2 linked regions of the Rhinolophus ferrumequinum genome follow. The protein of the gene in region 1 interacts with the protein of each later gene in a biochemical or structural test. Links are inferred from orthologs where the notes say so. Each region holds a gene or a part of one and is shown in the gene's direction. Other genes may lie near its edges. The genes, in order: SLC9A1 and TESC.

The links.
Region 2: the proteins of SLC9A1 (region 1) and TESC form a complex in vitro, tested with the Homo sapiens proteins (4 studies listed by BioGRID and IntAct, with this or other methods). The link is inferred for Rhinolophus ferrumequinum from reciprocal best matches to the Homo sapiens genes SLC9A1 and TESC.

The regions. Positions count from the first base shown.
Region 1 is NC_046292.1:18,599,356-18,607,375, reverse strand, and holds the start of SLC9A1 (sodium/hydrogen exchanger 1), read left to right. Parts: upstream 1-4,769; 5' UTR 4,770-5,575; coding exon 5,576-5,924; intron 5,925-8,020. UniProt on the Homo sapiens protein: Electroneutral Na(+) /H(+) antiporter that extrudes Na(+) in exchange for external protons driven by the inward sodium ion chemical gradient, protecting cells from acidification that occurs from metabolism.
Region 2 is NC_046308.1:10,827,064-10,835,237, reverse strand, and holds the start of TESC (calcineurin B homologous protein 3), read left to right. Parts: upstream 1-4,739; 5' UTR 4,740-4,934; coding exon 4,935-4,992; intron 4,993-8,174. UniProt on the Homo sapiens protein: Functions as an integral cofactor in cell pH regulation by controlling plasma membrane-type Na(+)/H(+) exchange activity. Promotes the maturation, transport, cell surface stability and exchange activity of SLC9A1/NHE1 at the plasma membrane.

The DNA.
Region 1 (8,020 bases):
AAAGTATGAACAGGAACATCTGCATCAAAATCTCTCAAGGGCACTTATCAAAAATTCAAATCCTGGGACCTTCCCCTCCAGTCTACTAAATCCTAACCTCTCGAGCAAGGCCAGGCAATCTGTACGTGAGAGTGTGGAGTGGCAGCAAATTCAGGGGAAGCTGGGGCTGTGCTTTGTACCTATGGAGATGGAGGTGCCCATGGGATGTTCAGCTGGTGAGTGGACATACGAATATCAAGTTCACTGATGGGTGTTTATCAGAGTTATCATTGAGTCTCCTATGCAGGAAGCATGGGGACTTGTACATAGCAGGTACTAAATGTTTATTGAGTGAATCATGAACTCAGCTTAATTAAAAGCCACTTGCTGAATCACAAATTCTAACTCCTTACCATCCTCCCAACTCTCTTCTAGTTGCCCAGGGTGTACATGTTTTTTCATGGTGGCTCTTAGCCTAAAGAAGTGGGAAAAGCTTGGACTTCAGAGTCAGACAGACTTGGATCCACACCTGGCGCCCCAGCTCTGTGTCCACAAGCGACTCTCCTTTTGGAGCCTTGGTTTTCTTATGTGCAAATACTATATCCTGTCATTCATTCATTCATTCACTCATTCATGAGGGCTCTCCTGTCCTCTTGGAGTTCACATCCTATGAGGGGAAATGGCCGTAAACAATAAAATATAGAAACAGGTTAATATTATGTCATATGTGAGAAGGTGAAAAGAGTTATGGAACAAAGAAAAAAGAAGCCATATAACGGCTGGGGACCGGGTGGTAATGGTGCCGGCTGGGCTTCCCAGGGGAAGCATCACTATTGACTAGAGTTATCATGTAGCAAGTAAGCCACACCGAGAAGGGAGATTTGTGGAAAGGCTTGAGGGATACGAGGGAGTGAGCCAAGTGGATCTGGGGAAGAATGTTCCAGGCAAAAGGAACAGCAAGTGCTAAGGCCCTGAGGCAGAAATGGGGCTGGCAGTGTTTGAGAAATAGCAAGGAAGCAGGGTGATTGGGGTGGAGTGAGTGACGGGGAGACCGAAAGAAGAGAGACTTGCAGGGCTGTAAACTGAGCTTGACAAGCACCAGCCCTTTAATCCTCGTAATAACCTTACAAGTCAGGAATTACGACCCCACCCACCTTTCATACACATGAAAAACTGAATGACAGAAACCAAATGTGACTTGCCCGTCATGTACAACTAGTAAGTGGCCCGGTGGATCCTTTCCTAGTACCACACGTTATTTGCCACGTAGCTGTTGATGTCACAGCGACAGCAAGTTCATAAAATTCCCATCACTTTTAGTGAAAGAATTCAGTGAGGGGATAGGGAAACAGATATGGCCTATGCAGGACCAGATGCCATTTGGGGCCCAGGATCCTGAGACTCTTCTAGATCTGCAGGGGGAAGGACCTGCAGAGACATGGCCTCCCTGAGTCAAGAGCAGTGTGGGCCTGGAATGGTTACAAAATGAGGACTTGCTCAAACAAAGGTACAGACATTGCGGTACATGTTAACTGATTACCTATAACAAAATCATGCTTTTAGTATGCACAATACACTATGATGTAATTTATCGAAAATTATTAAATTCATAGCATGCTACAGGTGATGTGGTCTGATCATGGGACCAATTTCACAGATGTGAGGATCTTCTTTCTATCCTGTCCATGTGTCTCTGTGACTGAATATGTAACTTCAGGTGGTCCTACCACCAAAAGTCTACTTTGGAGGCCCTCAGTACATGTAAATAAAGATAATCAGGTAAATATACGTGGTACTTGCTAGGTGCCGCTCTAAGTGCACTGGTTAATATATTCATATTATATTCATAATATATAATTCATAATATATTCATGAGATTGCCACTATTATGGTCCCCACATTATGGAGGGAGAAACTGTGGAACAGGGAGATTAATGGATTTAACTAAGGTCTTACAACTAGTGAGTGGTGGTTGTGGGATTTGAACTTAGAAAATCTGGCTATCCACATTAGACAGTGCACGTACTTAATTCTTATGCTATACTGCCTGGCCTCGGCTGGGCCTTGGCCGTGGGCTGTCCCAGGTAGTTTTTCTCAAGGGCTCTTTCCCAGTTCTGTCATGATGCTATAACCTTCTCCAGGCGGTGGAGGATCTCAGGGCTGCCTCTTGTAGGATCTGCTACCTCCCAAGCACTCACTGAGGATGAGTGAGGTAGAGCTGGAGAGTAGGGAGGATGGGAGCACAGCTGTGAATGCTGCCCTTGAGACCGGAAAGGACTATAGATCTCAGGGTTCTGGCCCCAATGTCATCTGTGGAAAGTCCCTCCACTAGCTCCATTCCTTCCCTCTCTTCTTTTTTCTAAACTGAACCTGTGGTGTTTTGAAAGAACTCTGGATTCAGACATTCGAAAGTTGACTTACATTCTGGATCTGCTACCTAACAGCTGTGTGACCCTGGCCAAATGGCTTCATGTCTCTGAGTCCTAGCTTTTCCATCGTAAAATGAAAATGAATAATAGCTACTATCTATTGAGCCCTCACTATGCACCAGCACTTGGATCACTGATAAACCTGGAGCATTTGGTTGTGAACTATAAAGGACTGAACCATTGTAAAGTATTATTGTCATTATTCTCATCCTTGCCCTACATGCTGCCCCTCTCTTTGGTTATTTCCAGTATAGCTGATGTTATCCTTTCACCTGCTCCCAGGTGACACAAGGCCCTTGGCCTTCTCTGACGGCTCTTCTAGGCATTTCTGTCATCTCCCGAGTGGCCGGGCCTGTGCCAGGAGAATGTGAGGTGCAGAGAATTGAGTTTAATGTCAGCTCCTTCAGTCACTATCACATCACTTTATTATTTTAAAATAACTTTTAATGAAAGGATAGCATATCTTAAGAAAAGTACACAAATCATGAGTGTACAAAACAAGTACCTCTGCGTAACCTTTGTTAATACCACCCAGTAAAGAAATAGAATATTATCAGCACCCGAGAAGCCTTAGTTGTGCCCACTTCGTGACCCCTCCCAAAATCACTTCCACTTCCTTCCTGCCCATGTCTTATCTCTGTGTTGCCAGAGTCCAGCCAAAGCCTTGTCAAAAGGCCCAGTAAATATTTGCTAAACTGAAATGAACCCCTTTAAAATCATTTTGTGATCCCAAGCTAGTCACTTTGACTTTCTTGACCTTGATTTGCTCTTTTGCAAAATAGGGATGGCATTTCAGTATTTTCCACAGTTGTCAACCCTGAGTGTACATTAGAATCACCTGGGCGAGCTTCTGAAAAAATACCCATCGTGTTTGGGCACTTCCCTGGAGCAGCTGAATCCAAATCTCTGAAGATAGGTCCCAGGCAACGTAGTTTTTAAAAGCTTTCCATATATATAGTTACAAGAAGTGGAGTACAGCATTAGGAATAGAGACAGTGGAAATGTAATGGCTGTGTGTGATGTCAGAGGGGTAGTGGATGGGGGAAGGGGTTGTCACTGTGTGAGGGATAGAAATGATAAATGTCTATTACATTGTTTTGTGCACCTGAAACTAATTTAAAAAAATGTTAAAAGCTTTCCAATGATTGCAGTGTACAGCCATGACCTCTTGAATCTTACCAATTCCAACCAACACTATACGTTCAAATCTCAATTCCACTACTGCTGTGGGTTGAATTGTGTCTTCCTAAAAGATATTGAAGTTCTTGGCGGCTGGATGGCTCAGCTGGTTAGAGCACAAGCTCTGAACAACAGGATCGCTGGTTTGAGTCCCATATGGGCCAGTGAGCTGCGCCCTCCACAACTAGATTGAGGGACAACGACTTGGAGTTGATGGGCACTGGAGAAACACACTGTTCCCCAATACACAAATTATTTTTATTCCCCAATAAAAAATTATATATATATATATATATTAAATAAGAATATTAAAGTTCTAACCCCCAGTACCTATGAATGTGGCCTTCTTTGGAAATGGAAATAGTGTTATGGAAATAGTATTATTGAAGATGATCAATTTAAGATGAGGTCATTAGGGTGGACCCCTAATCGGTGGACCCCTAATCCAGGGGAATTTTGGACCCAGAGACAGAGGCACAGGGAGATCACCATGTGAAGATTGGAGTTATGCTGCCAACAGTTAAGAAACACCAAAGATTGTCCGCAAACCACCAGAAGCTAGGAGAGAAGCATGGAGCAGATAGATGTTCCCTCACAGCCCTCAGAAAACCTTGATTTTAGACCTCTAGCCTCCAGAATATGAGACAATAAATTTCTGTTTTTTTTAAGCCACCCAGTTTGTGGTACTTTGCTACAGCAGCCCTGGCAAACTAGTTTACATATTAGCTAAGCAACTCTCTCCACTCATTTCCTCATCTGCAAAACTGGAACTATAATAATAGTTCTATGTGCTGGGCTCCGTTCTAAACACTTAACACAGATTATCTCATTGAGTCATTTCAGTATCCCTCTGATACAGGTACTGCTACCATTTCCATTTTATAGATGAGAAAGCTGTGGAACAGGGAGTAACTTGCTCAAGGTCACAGGGTAACTAAATACATAAAATACTAATACATCCTTCGCAAGACTATTGGGAAGCCTTCATGAGACTGCGGGTGTGGATGTGATAGCGCTTTGTAAATAGTAAAGCGTTTTACCCGTGTTAGAATCTCTGTGGATTCAGGACTTTTTTTCCGCCCCCATCTCTGTCCTTTCTCTTGCTACAGGCTACTTCCTTCCCTCGGCGGCAAGGGGTCGCTGCGCTGCGTGGGCGCCGACGTTCCTTCTAGCCCGCTGCGCTGGCTGCTCGTTGGTACCTATAAATGGCAGCGACCGGCTCAGCCAGGCATCAGTCCACCGCCGCCGGCGCTGAGCCCGGCGTTGGGAGTAGGACTGGGAGTAGACGCGGAGAACCTGAAGCTGGGCCGGGGCCGCAAGGAGGGGCGTGCAGCCGCTGGCCCACCGCGAGCCGCTCCCAGCCCTCGCCGAAGCGTTCTCCGCTAGGCCGCCTGCCTCCGCCTTCCTCCTCCCTCCATTTCCCCGGAATCTCAGCCAGGTGCGCCTGCACCCCGACGCTTCTCTGGGTGGGGAAGCTCCCGACCGCTTTCCGGCTGCACTCCTTCCTCGCAGCTTGGGCTCCCAGACCCCTCTCTTCTTTGCCTGGACTGGGTCCCACCGCCTTCTGTCCCCTTCCTTGAGCTCCGGCTTCCTGCCCCTGCCCGTAGTCTATTCCCCTCTCTCTCCTTAGTCACTTTGCTCAGCCGAGGGTCCCAGCCTCCCCTCTTCCTTTTCCTTGCCTGGGGTCCAACTTGTCCTGTCCCTTCCTCTCTCTCCTTTCCCTGGCCGGGAGTTCCAGACCTTTAGGTCTCCTGTGGTCCTTCCTGGGTCCTTCTGCCTCTTCCCCAGTTTGGAGTTCTAGATTGAGAACCCAGATTCTGTCCACCCCCAGAGGACTGCTTCCGCAAAACGACCTCTCTAAAACATGAACTTTTCCTAGAGACTACTCCAGGCTCTCTTCCCACCTGCTGACCCCTTGCTGCCTATGTCCCAGGTCTGACTCTCACTTTGCTAAGAGTCCAGGCCTCCTCGGCCAAGGGAGCGGCAGGATGCTTCTGTGGTCTGGCATCTGTGGCCTCTCTCCACCTCGAATCTTCCCTTCGTTGCTGGTGATGGTAGCCTTGGTGGGGCTGCTACCTGTTCTCAGGAGCCATGGCCTCCAGCTCAGTCCTACTGCCAGCACCATCCGAGGCTCAGAGCCACCACGGGAACGCTCAATTGGGGATGTCACCACCGCCCCACCGGAGACCACCCCCCAGAGCCACCCTGTTAACCATTCGGGCACTGAACACAGCACACAACGAAAGGCCTTTCCAGTCCTGGACATCGACTACTCACATGTGCGCAGACCCTTCGAGATCTCCCTCTGGATCCTGCTTGCCTGCCTCATGAAGATAGGTAAGTCCAGTTTGCTTCACTGCTTCTGTTGCCACCAGCCTGGTGAGCTTCTTGCCCCATCCTTACCACTTGAGGCTGCCCAGGAGTTAGGGTCTGGACTCCTATAATGTAGGCAACCTCCATTCTGCCATCTTGGTCCTTCTCAGACTTGAGCTCTGTGGTTTGAGGCCTCCCAAGGTTGAAGCCAGCATCATGCATGGGAAAGAGGGGGATTGGAGCATGGGATGCTTCTGATACTGGGTCCTTTCAGCAAGGCTTCCAGGCTTGGCAGGTCTCCTCTGGTTGGGCCAGACCCCGAGGGGAGCCAGGCTCCCAGCTGCGTGGAAGGCAGAGAGGAGTGTCTTCCAGCAAGTGGCACATTCTGCTCCGTCAACAGCAACCAGTGCAATTACACGCTTCATGGGAGGGTGTTCCAGGATGGAGTATATTTCTACTTGGCCTGTTTAAGGAGTTTTAGTATCGCAGGGTACCTGCGTGCTGGAGACCTAGCAGTGTGCTGGAACACAAGGGATCCCTACCTTTTTACCTTACTTTATCCGTGGAATATTATCTGTCAGCTTTGCCTGCCCAGGCTGGTCAGGAGCCCCTGAGTCAGTTTCCGGCCCAGGAATGCCATTCCTTATGCAGTTTATGGGACAGGGGGCCCTGGAAATTTCTGAAGTCCGTTTTGGGGGTGGAGGAGGTTGAAGCTTGGTCTGGCCCCAGCTCACCTCCAGGTTAGCAGCCACCCGGCTGTGTCTCAAGGTACTGCCTGGGTTGGCCAGTAGTGTTGGCCTGCTGCTCGACCAAGTGGAAGAGGGACAGGTGGAGGGGCTCGGGATGCTCTGGTCTGAAGAGACTTTGAAACGATCTTTTTGGGAGAAGGAGACAGAAAAGTTGTTCCCTTCTGAAAAGTTGTCTCCCTGCTCGGCCTGAGCACTTTGTTCTGCTGGGTGATTGATTTATCTCTCGGGGACCTGCATCACTCACAAGTCCCTGGAAGTGTGTCCGGGGTGGGGGGGTGCTTTGAAAGCTGCCTTTGCTTTTTTAGCCCCAGCTAATCTGTAGAAGGCAAGGGACTCTGCTGGTCTGGGTTTGGGGCGTTTGTGACTCTTGGCAGAAAGCCTTGCAGCTTACCCGAGGACCTGAAGGAGCTGATTGGTGATGCCAGGCTGGTAGGAGGCAGGCTCTGGGACATGCTGCAGGAAGGCACCCTGTTTTGACAGAGCCAGAATCTGGCTTCCTGGTGCGGTGCTTGGCTGCTGTGACAGTAGCAGGGCCTATAGATGGACCTGGGCCACTGGCATCTGTACCCTGATGGCAGCCAGCTTCCTGGCATCAAGGACTGGGCAAGGGGAGCCATTTGTACCGATTCTGACAAATACATGACCTTGAACGAGCTGGGGCCTTTTTCTGCAGGTCTCGTCCACCTGTGAAACTGGCAAGAATGTCTACCTTTGACCATATCAATTGAGTCATTAAACCTGTGTCTTAATTTGTGGTAAGAAACTGAAGTGACCATGATGTGTCATTTGCTTGTGTGAGACCAGGAAGAGACCTCACACGCATCGTCTCTGAATCACTCTCCTCCCAACCACACCTGGCATTGTGTTAGAGCGCTGGGGGCCAGTACACGCACTGCAGGTCTCAGTGATTCCTGGGGGGGCAATAGCATGACCACAAAAATCCTACTTTGGGCAATCAGGAGTTTGTCCCTGCAGGCCTGATGTCTCCAGTTCTAATGGGATTAGGCTTTGTCCCTCCCAGAACCTGTAATAGGGACCCTGGGCAGCTGGAGAACAGAGATGGTGCCATGGTGAGGGTATCAGTCCAGAAGTGAGGAAACTTGGCTTCTCATCCCATCTCTGTCTGTGACCTTGGGCCAGTTACTCATTTCCACCTGTCTGTCGATCTTTGTGTCCCCTTCCATGTCTGCCATTTCTGCCATTTCACTGACTTGGGTAACCCTGGCAAATAACTCAGCCTTGGGCCTCAGTTTCCCCGTTGTAAAAGGAGGCTGGATATGATCTCTGAAGGCCTTTGCAGTTCCAAAAGTCCGTGTCTCTGCCTCAGAAGGACATTTTTCTGCCTCTGAAAACAGAGGAGTCCTAGCATCT
Region 2 (8,174 bases), on another chromosome or scaffold:
GCTGTTGCCTCTGTGTCTGAGAAGAGGTTCTAGCAGACCCTTCTGAATACTGATTATCACTGTCTCCTTCCACAGCCCTGAGCCCTCTGCAAAGCCTGCCCCACCGCTCCATGTAAAGCGATGGTGAAGTTAAAATAGATTTTGGGCTCCTGCCACTGCTTTCTGCTTCTCTGTTGAGTTTGTTTCTCGGACAACAAGGCAAAGTTTGAAGCCCATCCAGGGACAAACTTCCATCTGCCCCCTGCAAGTTCCAGTAAGAGGTCAGTATTTATATAAATAATAGAAAACATGCTCAAGCTTCCCTCCCCAAAGAGCCCCCCGTCTCCTATTTTTAGGCGGTCAGCCCTCCCGCCCAAAGCCCTGCCTCTCCCTCTGTGGTCTGGGTTGCGATGTAGATGCTGGTGGCTGTGATGGGAGGGGGCACAATTATTTTAAAATCCCCTTGCAGGGATCACTCTCCCAAGACCAAAAATGATTTCCTAAGAAGTGGGGGCTGGGCCGAGATTCAAGTGTGAATTCTGCTTATTTGTCTCACCAGGTATTGTGGGGAAGAGTGAGCTCGCAGAAGGAGGAGAGAGGGGCTGGCTGTAAAGTCCTGGATCCCATCCTCCCAGGGAGGGAATGAGCCGCTGTGGAGGGAGGGTCTGCTCTATGCCAGCCATTACATTCTTGCTGAATCTTCTCTATAAAGATGCGATTGTGGACCCATTATACAGATGAATCTATCTCCCGCAACAACCCAAAGTTAGCTGGAACGACTAGGGTGACTTGGGTGAGAAAGGATTCTTTAAAAGATAACTTTAATTCCAAACACAAATGGGGGATGGTTCTTCTCTGATTCCGTTTACACTGAGACATACAAGACCAGCATCAGGAGCCTGAATGAGCTGAAGAGAAAAACTGTCCGTGTGAGACATGGCATAGAGCACTCGCCGGGTTTCCCTCCCTGGACATGTTTTAGGAGAGCATTGCTAATCCTCACTTGTTTGAAGTGGTTTAGTTATGGTCTTCTTTAAGTCAGAGGCTAAGCAAGATGGCACTTGGAGTCCCCATAAATTTCTTGGAGTCAGTGACCTAAAGATTAAAGGAGTCTTGTTGCTCCCAGAACGTTGCCAAGCCTCAGGAGTACTCCCAAGCTCGGTGATTAGAGGGACAGGGGAGTGACCCAGGTGAATACTAGGAACTGCCATTTACCCAGCTTCACATCTGCACTCTGATTCTGGTTTACGACCCGTTCTGAAACACCTTGGTCTTCCCAGCTATAAAATGGGCATGTGTTGGGTACCTCTCCTCCAGGCTCCCGCAGCAGCCAGGACCCATTGGTGGGCCCTTTAGTGATGGTCTGTTCATGTCTCTTTCCTTCCAGACTCTGGGATCCCTGACATCAGGGACTGACTCCTTCACTGTGGTGTCCAAATTCCTGGCACCCAGTAGTGAGTGAGTAAATGAATGAATGAATGAACAAGTGAACGTATGAATTATGACAACAGTCAACGGCAGTTGTCTCGGACCTGCTTGTAAGAGCAAAGTGTTAAACATTCAGGAATTTTGCAAGCCCCAGTTGTTAAATTGTTGGTAGCTTAAAACTGACCACAGTGGGCGTATTTATGCCAGAGGAATCGGCCAATGCTACACATCAGGCCTTCCCTCCCCTTTTCCAGAGCCTGTTTATCAGCACTCCATGGGGAGCACTCACCATGTCAGGCATTGTGTTAAGCACTTTACCTTTATGAATCCACATTTAACCCTCACAACCACCATTATTATTGCCTTTCTACAGATGGGGAAACTGAGGCCCAGGCAGGTGAAGTCACCTGCCCAAGTGTGGTTTCGTAGCCTTCCCTGACACGAATGTGGGAGAGACCAAGGAAGACCATCCTCGCCGTCTCTGGGCTCAGCTGCCCGTCGTGGCCTCACAGGTACCAGCCATTCTCAACGTGGCTGCTGTTTTTAATCAGCTCTTCTGGGAGAAGAGACGCAGTTGCCTGGTGACTAAAGTGTTCCCTACCCTCAGAAAGTCACGCTGTGTGCTGTGTGCTGGGAGGATAAAGACACCACACAGGGTGCCCCTCGTCCAGAGCTCCAGACAACAGATCCAATCAGCCCAGTCAGACCCCATGCAAAGCTCCAGGCTTCCTTGGTGACGCCAACAGCGCTATGGGTAGGATTGAATTAAACCCGTGACGTCCTAGAACAGGCAGCAACAGGCTTTGTGTGGAGAGAGCCCTACCGCGTGTGTGTGTGCATCATTGCCAGAGAAGGGGGGCAAAGCCCAGGCAGAGGGTGGGTGCCACTGCAGGGCCCCCAAAATTCATGGTTACATCTGTCTACCCAGTATTTGCCTTTGGCCTGTCCCTTTGGGACCACAGGTGGGGACAATCATGGACTCCCCAAAATTCAGCTTAAGGGATAATAGAGTCCCCAGGGGCCATTCTGGCTTGAACATTCCAGATCTCTGTGGCCCTGTTTACCCCCCTGCATGGTCACCTCCTGTTTGTGGGTCTCCCCACTCCTCCAGGAGTTCCTTAGGAGTGAAAGTGTGGCTCCTGGTTATTGCTGGATGTGGCTCCAGGACCCAGCCAGAACCCTGAACACAGCAGGCTTTCCATAAATGTGCAGGGAATAAATAAATGAACGAATGAACCCACAAATTGTGCCTTGGGGTCTCCACCTTCCTGCTGCCACAAGGAGCTCCAGATTGTTTCTCCAAGCCCTGCCATCAGGAGTAAATCTCCCTGGGTTAGCTTATCACAACCGGCGCCTTCCTCTCTTCCAGCTCCCAGCTGACTGGCTGACTGGCGAAGGGGGCTTGTTTGGCAGCAGACCCAGGAGAACGATGGGGACCCTGGGATGGCCTCTGGGAGGTGCAATTAACATTGAGATCTGAAGAGAAAGCCCAGGCCATAGGAAGAGGGAGGTGAAGGGAGCCCCAGGCAGAAGGAACAGCTTGTCTGGGAGATGACAGTGGCCAGTGGGGCTCGAGATAAAGTTGACTGCATAGCAGGTGATGGAGTAAAGGTGGGATGCCCTCACCCCATACCCTAGGGGGCCTCTCTGTGGTCACCTGAAGGGCGGAGCAAAGCCATGTGACCCCTCACTGTCCCGGAGCACCTTCCCAAGGCCTTTATCCCCACCCATGCCAAGGGGAGGAGATGCAGTCGCGAGAACTCCATTTTCTGTCTCCCCAGCAGAAAGCACCATCATTGAATCCTTGAATTATTTAATAAAATTCCAGGAACCGCTATTTTAAGTCAGAATAAAAGTGTTCCCAGCAGTTGTGGGTAATTCCCCAGGGGTCTGGGGATCCCCTTTCTGACCCCAAGGCCAGTCTGGGTTTCTAGATACCTTCTGACCCAAAGTGCAGTCTCTAGGTCGGCTTTCCAGTTCACTCAGACCAGCTGGTGCTGACAGACAACATTTCCCCAGGTAGGTCTTAGCAGCACCCAAGGGTGCTTTTAAAATGCAGATTCCAGGCACGGCCCCAGCTCTCTGAGTGCCCACCAGAGTGTAATGGGCAGCTGGATTTTCAACCAGAAGGGGGCTGATTCTGCTGGCCTGGCAGGTTTCAGGAGACTCCTGGTGGCTCCAAAAGGCACCCTTGCCCTGGGAAGGGCTGTGACCTTTGGTTTAGGTCTGTGGTCTGCACTATGGTACCCCCTCCCCAGCGCCCTGTGCAGCTGATGTAGGGGTCCCACTCAAGTCTCTGTGAGCACTGAAGGACCCTCAATCCCCCCCAGCCCTGTGCCGAGGCTCATGCCCAGCACAGACACTGAATACATGTGAATCATTGATGGCTGTGTCACCAAGCACCACGGAGCACGATGACCCAGCCTTGAGAACTGGAAAGTCTTGACTTTTGAGTTTCTGCTCTCAATGTGTGACCTCTCTGAAAACCAGTGCCTCACTTGCAAAGTGGACATGATTCCACAGAGACCACCTTGTGCTGTGTCCCCTGCCATGCCCTTCTGAGGGACATCTCATTAACTATGTTATCCCCATTTGCAAGAGAAGGAATCCTGGTAAGACAGGTGGCAGGAGTGGCCCTGGCACCCAGCCTGGCTACAGAACCCTATCCCCTTAAGTCACGTTAACACAGAACTTCTCTCACTGACTTGGGGACCACCAACATGACATCTGACAGTTTGCCTGAAATGCAGCTTCCTGGGCCCTGCCTGAGTCAGAATCCGTGGGTGGTGGAGTTCTCTTCTCAAGTTTGAGAACTCCCCCCAGCGCCCAAGCTCCAATGCTGAGGCTCAGATGGGCGGGTCAGCACGTGGGTGTGTCCACCTCACCAGGGTGCTGGGAGGGGGAGGTGGGGTGAGGGGGTTCCCTGCAATAGGCCAAACAAAGCGCCTGGTGCGCCTTCAAGGTGGATTGCTGCTACATGACCTTTATTCACCATAGAGCTAGTTATTGCTCGCTGTCCTCCTTCATGATCGCAGGGGAATGTCCCTCCTGAGATCTGGGAGGATATGTGATGGAACCCCGGGTGGCGTGGGCAAGGAAACCTCCCTGAGGTCTGATCCCTCCTCTGTTCACACCCCAACTCTGCTCACACCTGCGTCTTTCCAGAGCCGACAGGGTGCGGAGGGGGCGAGGCGCGACGTGCACGTCCGCTGCTGAGGACCCTGGGAGGTGGGTTTCTTGGGCCCCCTCCTACCCCCCCCTCCCCCCGCTACTCCGCCGTTTCCGGCCCCGGGGCGGGGCGCTCCCCACTCCCCGCAGTGCTGGAAGCCGGTGCGCGCTAGGACCGCGGCGCGCCGCCCTCCGGTGCTATAAGAGGCCGTGCTTCGGCCCCACGCGGAATCTGCGACTCAAACCTGTCCCCGGCGTCCCACTCGCGTTGGACCCGAGGCAGAACCGGCCGCTACGCAGCCGACGCCAGCCCAGGGCCTGCGAGGGACGCGCCCCCGGGAGTCCCCGCCGCGGGCACCATGGGCGCTGCCCACTCCGCGTCCGAGGAGGTGCGAGAGCTTATGGGCAAGACCGGCTGTGAGTATTCCTCGGGGGACGGACGCGGGGACACGGATGGGTACCGCTCGCCGGCTGGCGTGGGGGCTCCCAACCCACCGCCGCCCGCCCGGCTTCGCTCCGCCGTGCTGTGTGACCTTGGGCTAGTAGCTGGCCCTCTCTGCGCCTCAGTCTCCCCGTCCTTCAAATGGGTGGCTGTCGACCACTTTTCAGGCTGTGGCGAGGAGTGCCGCGGCTGCTCAGCCTTGGCACTCTTAGAATTGGCAGGGAACTCCCAGACCTGAGGACTACAGACCCGGGAACAAGCAGGGCCCGAGCTCCCCCAGGGCCCGCGCTGGGACTGGGAGAGTCAGCGCCTGGGAGAGCCAGTGCCGCGGACACCCAGCTGGTGCGCGCCCCGCATCAGAAAGCCGTTTGGATTCACGATGCGCAGGGGGCGGAAAGTTTTGAAGTCGGCGGGAGATGGGTGGGAGCCGGGCTCTGGCTTCGTTCTCCCATCTGTAAAATGGGTTGAGGTGGATCCACCTCCTTGGGTAGCTGGGAGGTCTAAGCGAGGCAGCGTCCGCAGAGCACTTTGCAGGAGCCGGACGACCTTCCTCGAGCTCGCCGGGACTCCCTGGACCCGCAGAGGCGGGGCGCACGGGGGAGGTGGGGAGGCGGTACCGCCAGGCAGAGCTGACCGCAGGCACTTGTCTGGCGGAAGCGCCTGTCAGCCCAAGTCCAGCCAGTCAGGGAACTTGACCCTGGGCCCTGACCTCCGCAGCCGGGCTCTGCCACCAGCTGTGAGGAGAGGAGTGTGGGCTGAAGACCGAGGGAGGCCAGGTGAGGGGATGTTGGCTTTGGAGATGGACAGACAGGGTGTGAGCACCACTTCCTTCCTGGCTGTGTGACCTTGGACTAGTCACTTTACGTCTCTAAGTCTCGGTTTCCTTCTCTTTGGAATGGGAGTTCTGCTAGTACCTGGTAGATGTTCAAAAAACGGCAGCTGCAGATGTCACTTCTAAGAAGGCTCTGGCTCCTGACGCCTGCTTTGAGCTTGGTGCAGACAATCAGCCTCTGTAGTGGGTCCTGGTAAGAAACCAGCCGTTTGTGCGTGGGCTGAAAAACGACTCCTCCTGACCCCCAATCTGAACACCCCTTGCCAGGAGACTTGGGTGGAAATTACAGAAAGCTCTCTTAACAACTGGAGAGAGTGTGTGTGTGTGTGTGTGTGTGTGTGTATACGTATACATATATGTATGTCTTCCTGTGTACAAATATAGAATTATCTGTAAATGGAGTGGGAAAGGGTGTGGTACATTATATATAACGTGAAACATTTTTGTTTAAAAAAGGGGGAATAAGAACATATATTTGTAATTGCTTTATTTGCATCAGTGACTCTGGAAGGACCCACAACGCAGTAAAAATAATGAATCCTCAGGGATTTGGTGGAAGGGGTGAAGGGGAAATGAACTTTTCACTGTAAACTTAGTTATATTTTCATTTTGAATCATGTGTGAATATTTTACTTCTTCGAAAAGTTTTATAAAGTCCAGTTCAAACCCCAGGCTAATGTGAGAGAGGAGGTAGGATTCTTCTTGCCCTGACTTTCGTGGGTTTCCTCCCGTTTTTATTATTTCTTGAGTGCCCTCTCTTTGCCTCTCGCTGCCTTGTATCTGGACAGGTTGGAGGTTCTCTATAGCTGGGATCTCCCCTCCCCCCCCCCGCGCCAAGGGTGGGTTGGCCACTGGCCCCCATCTCTCAGGCTGCCCCAAGAGCAGGCAGGCAGTCTGGGGGAATTCCTGCTGGTGGGTTTGACAGGTGATGGGGCCACAGAGCATGCTGGGAATCTTGTCAGTTTCCTGGGTTCGGTCCTGACTGGAGGTGACCTGCTGTGTTCCTGTTCTGAAGCTTTCCTAGATGTGGCTGACGTGGTATCTTTTCTTGCTGGCCAGAACTCAAATTTCACTTCCCAAAGGAGGAAGGGAGACAGAAGGGGTTCTGAGGTCTGAGGGGAAGATGAACCCCTTCCGTTCTCCATACTGTAAGCACGCGGGAAGTTCCCTCTAGTCCTCTGACAGGGGCAGGCATAGTTTGGGCGCTTTTGTCTGTTCAGCCAGTATTTATCTACCAGGCACTGGGGATTTAGAGGGGACCCAGAGACTGGTGTTCCTGAGGGGGACACACATATAATCAAATCAACCCATTTGTATTGAACTCTGTGAACAAAATAGGGACATGAGGTCTGGAGGGGTGGAGGGGGGGGCAGGGAAACATTTCTTTAGGGTAGGCCAGGAGGGCCTCTCTGAGGAGGTGATAATGGGACAGAAACCCAAATAAGGAAGCGCCAGCCACATGAAGGTCAGTGGAAGGTCCATTTTGGGCAGAGGGAACAGTAAATGCAAAGGTCCTGTGGCAGGAAGAAGTTGAGAACAAGAAACAAGAATCGTATGAGATGAGGGCACAGCCATAATTGGGACTCAGGTTTTGGCAGGAGCCTGATTTAAGGGGTCTTTCTAGGTATGTGGCTTTGGGCAAGTGTTTAGTTTTATTAGCTATGCTTTAAACACATTTGTATGTCCTGGTCACTCTGAGCCACAGCTGAGAGTTAAATCTTGGTCTCAGTTCTTCCTAGCTGCATGACCTTAAGCACGTCATTTTACCTCTATGAGCTTCAGTGTCCCCATCTGGATCCTAGGTTGCTAGGCTCCCCCAGCCTCTCTGAGCACCAGGATGGCCCCGGATTTGAAGAAATCAGCCTGGTCCCTTTCCCCCTCTGGAAAAAATGAGAAGGGTGAGCATAGGATGGTGTGGTCGACATCGGATGAAAATGCCGAGCACTTTGCACGCACTATGGTGGAATCTTCACGATAACCCTCCAGGGAAAGTGGCCATATGGTTGTTTTACAGATAAGGAAACTGAGGCTCAGAGGCGTAAAGCAACTTGCCTGCAGTCCCACAGCTTATAAGTAGAGGTTTGGGGAATCACAGGATCCCTAAGGCAGCTGTCCTGACACCACTGTGCTCTCACTGGGTTTAGTTGCCTGTCAGATTTCTAGGAACCCAGAAGGGGTAGGAAAAGCTTGCCCATATATTTTTCTCACCTGCAGGCCTTTGCACAAACCGTACCCTCTGCCCGAAGCGCTCTCTTCATTTTACCACGTACAATTCAGTGTTTATATACGGGAATGCCTCTGCAACCACCACCCGGGTGAAGGTTG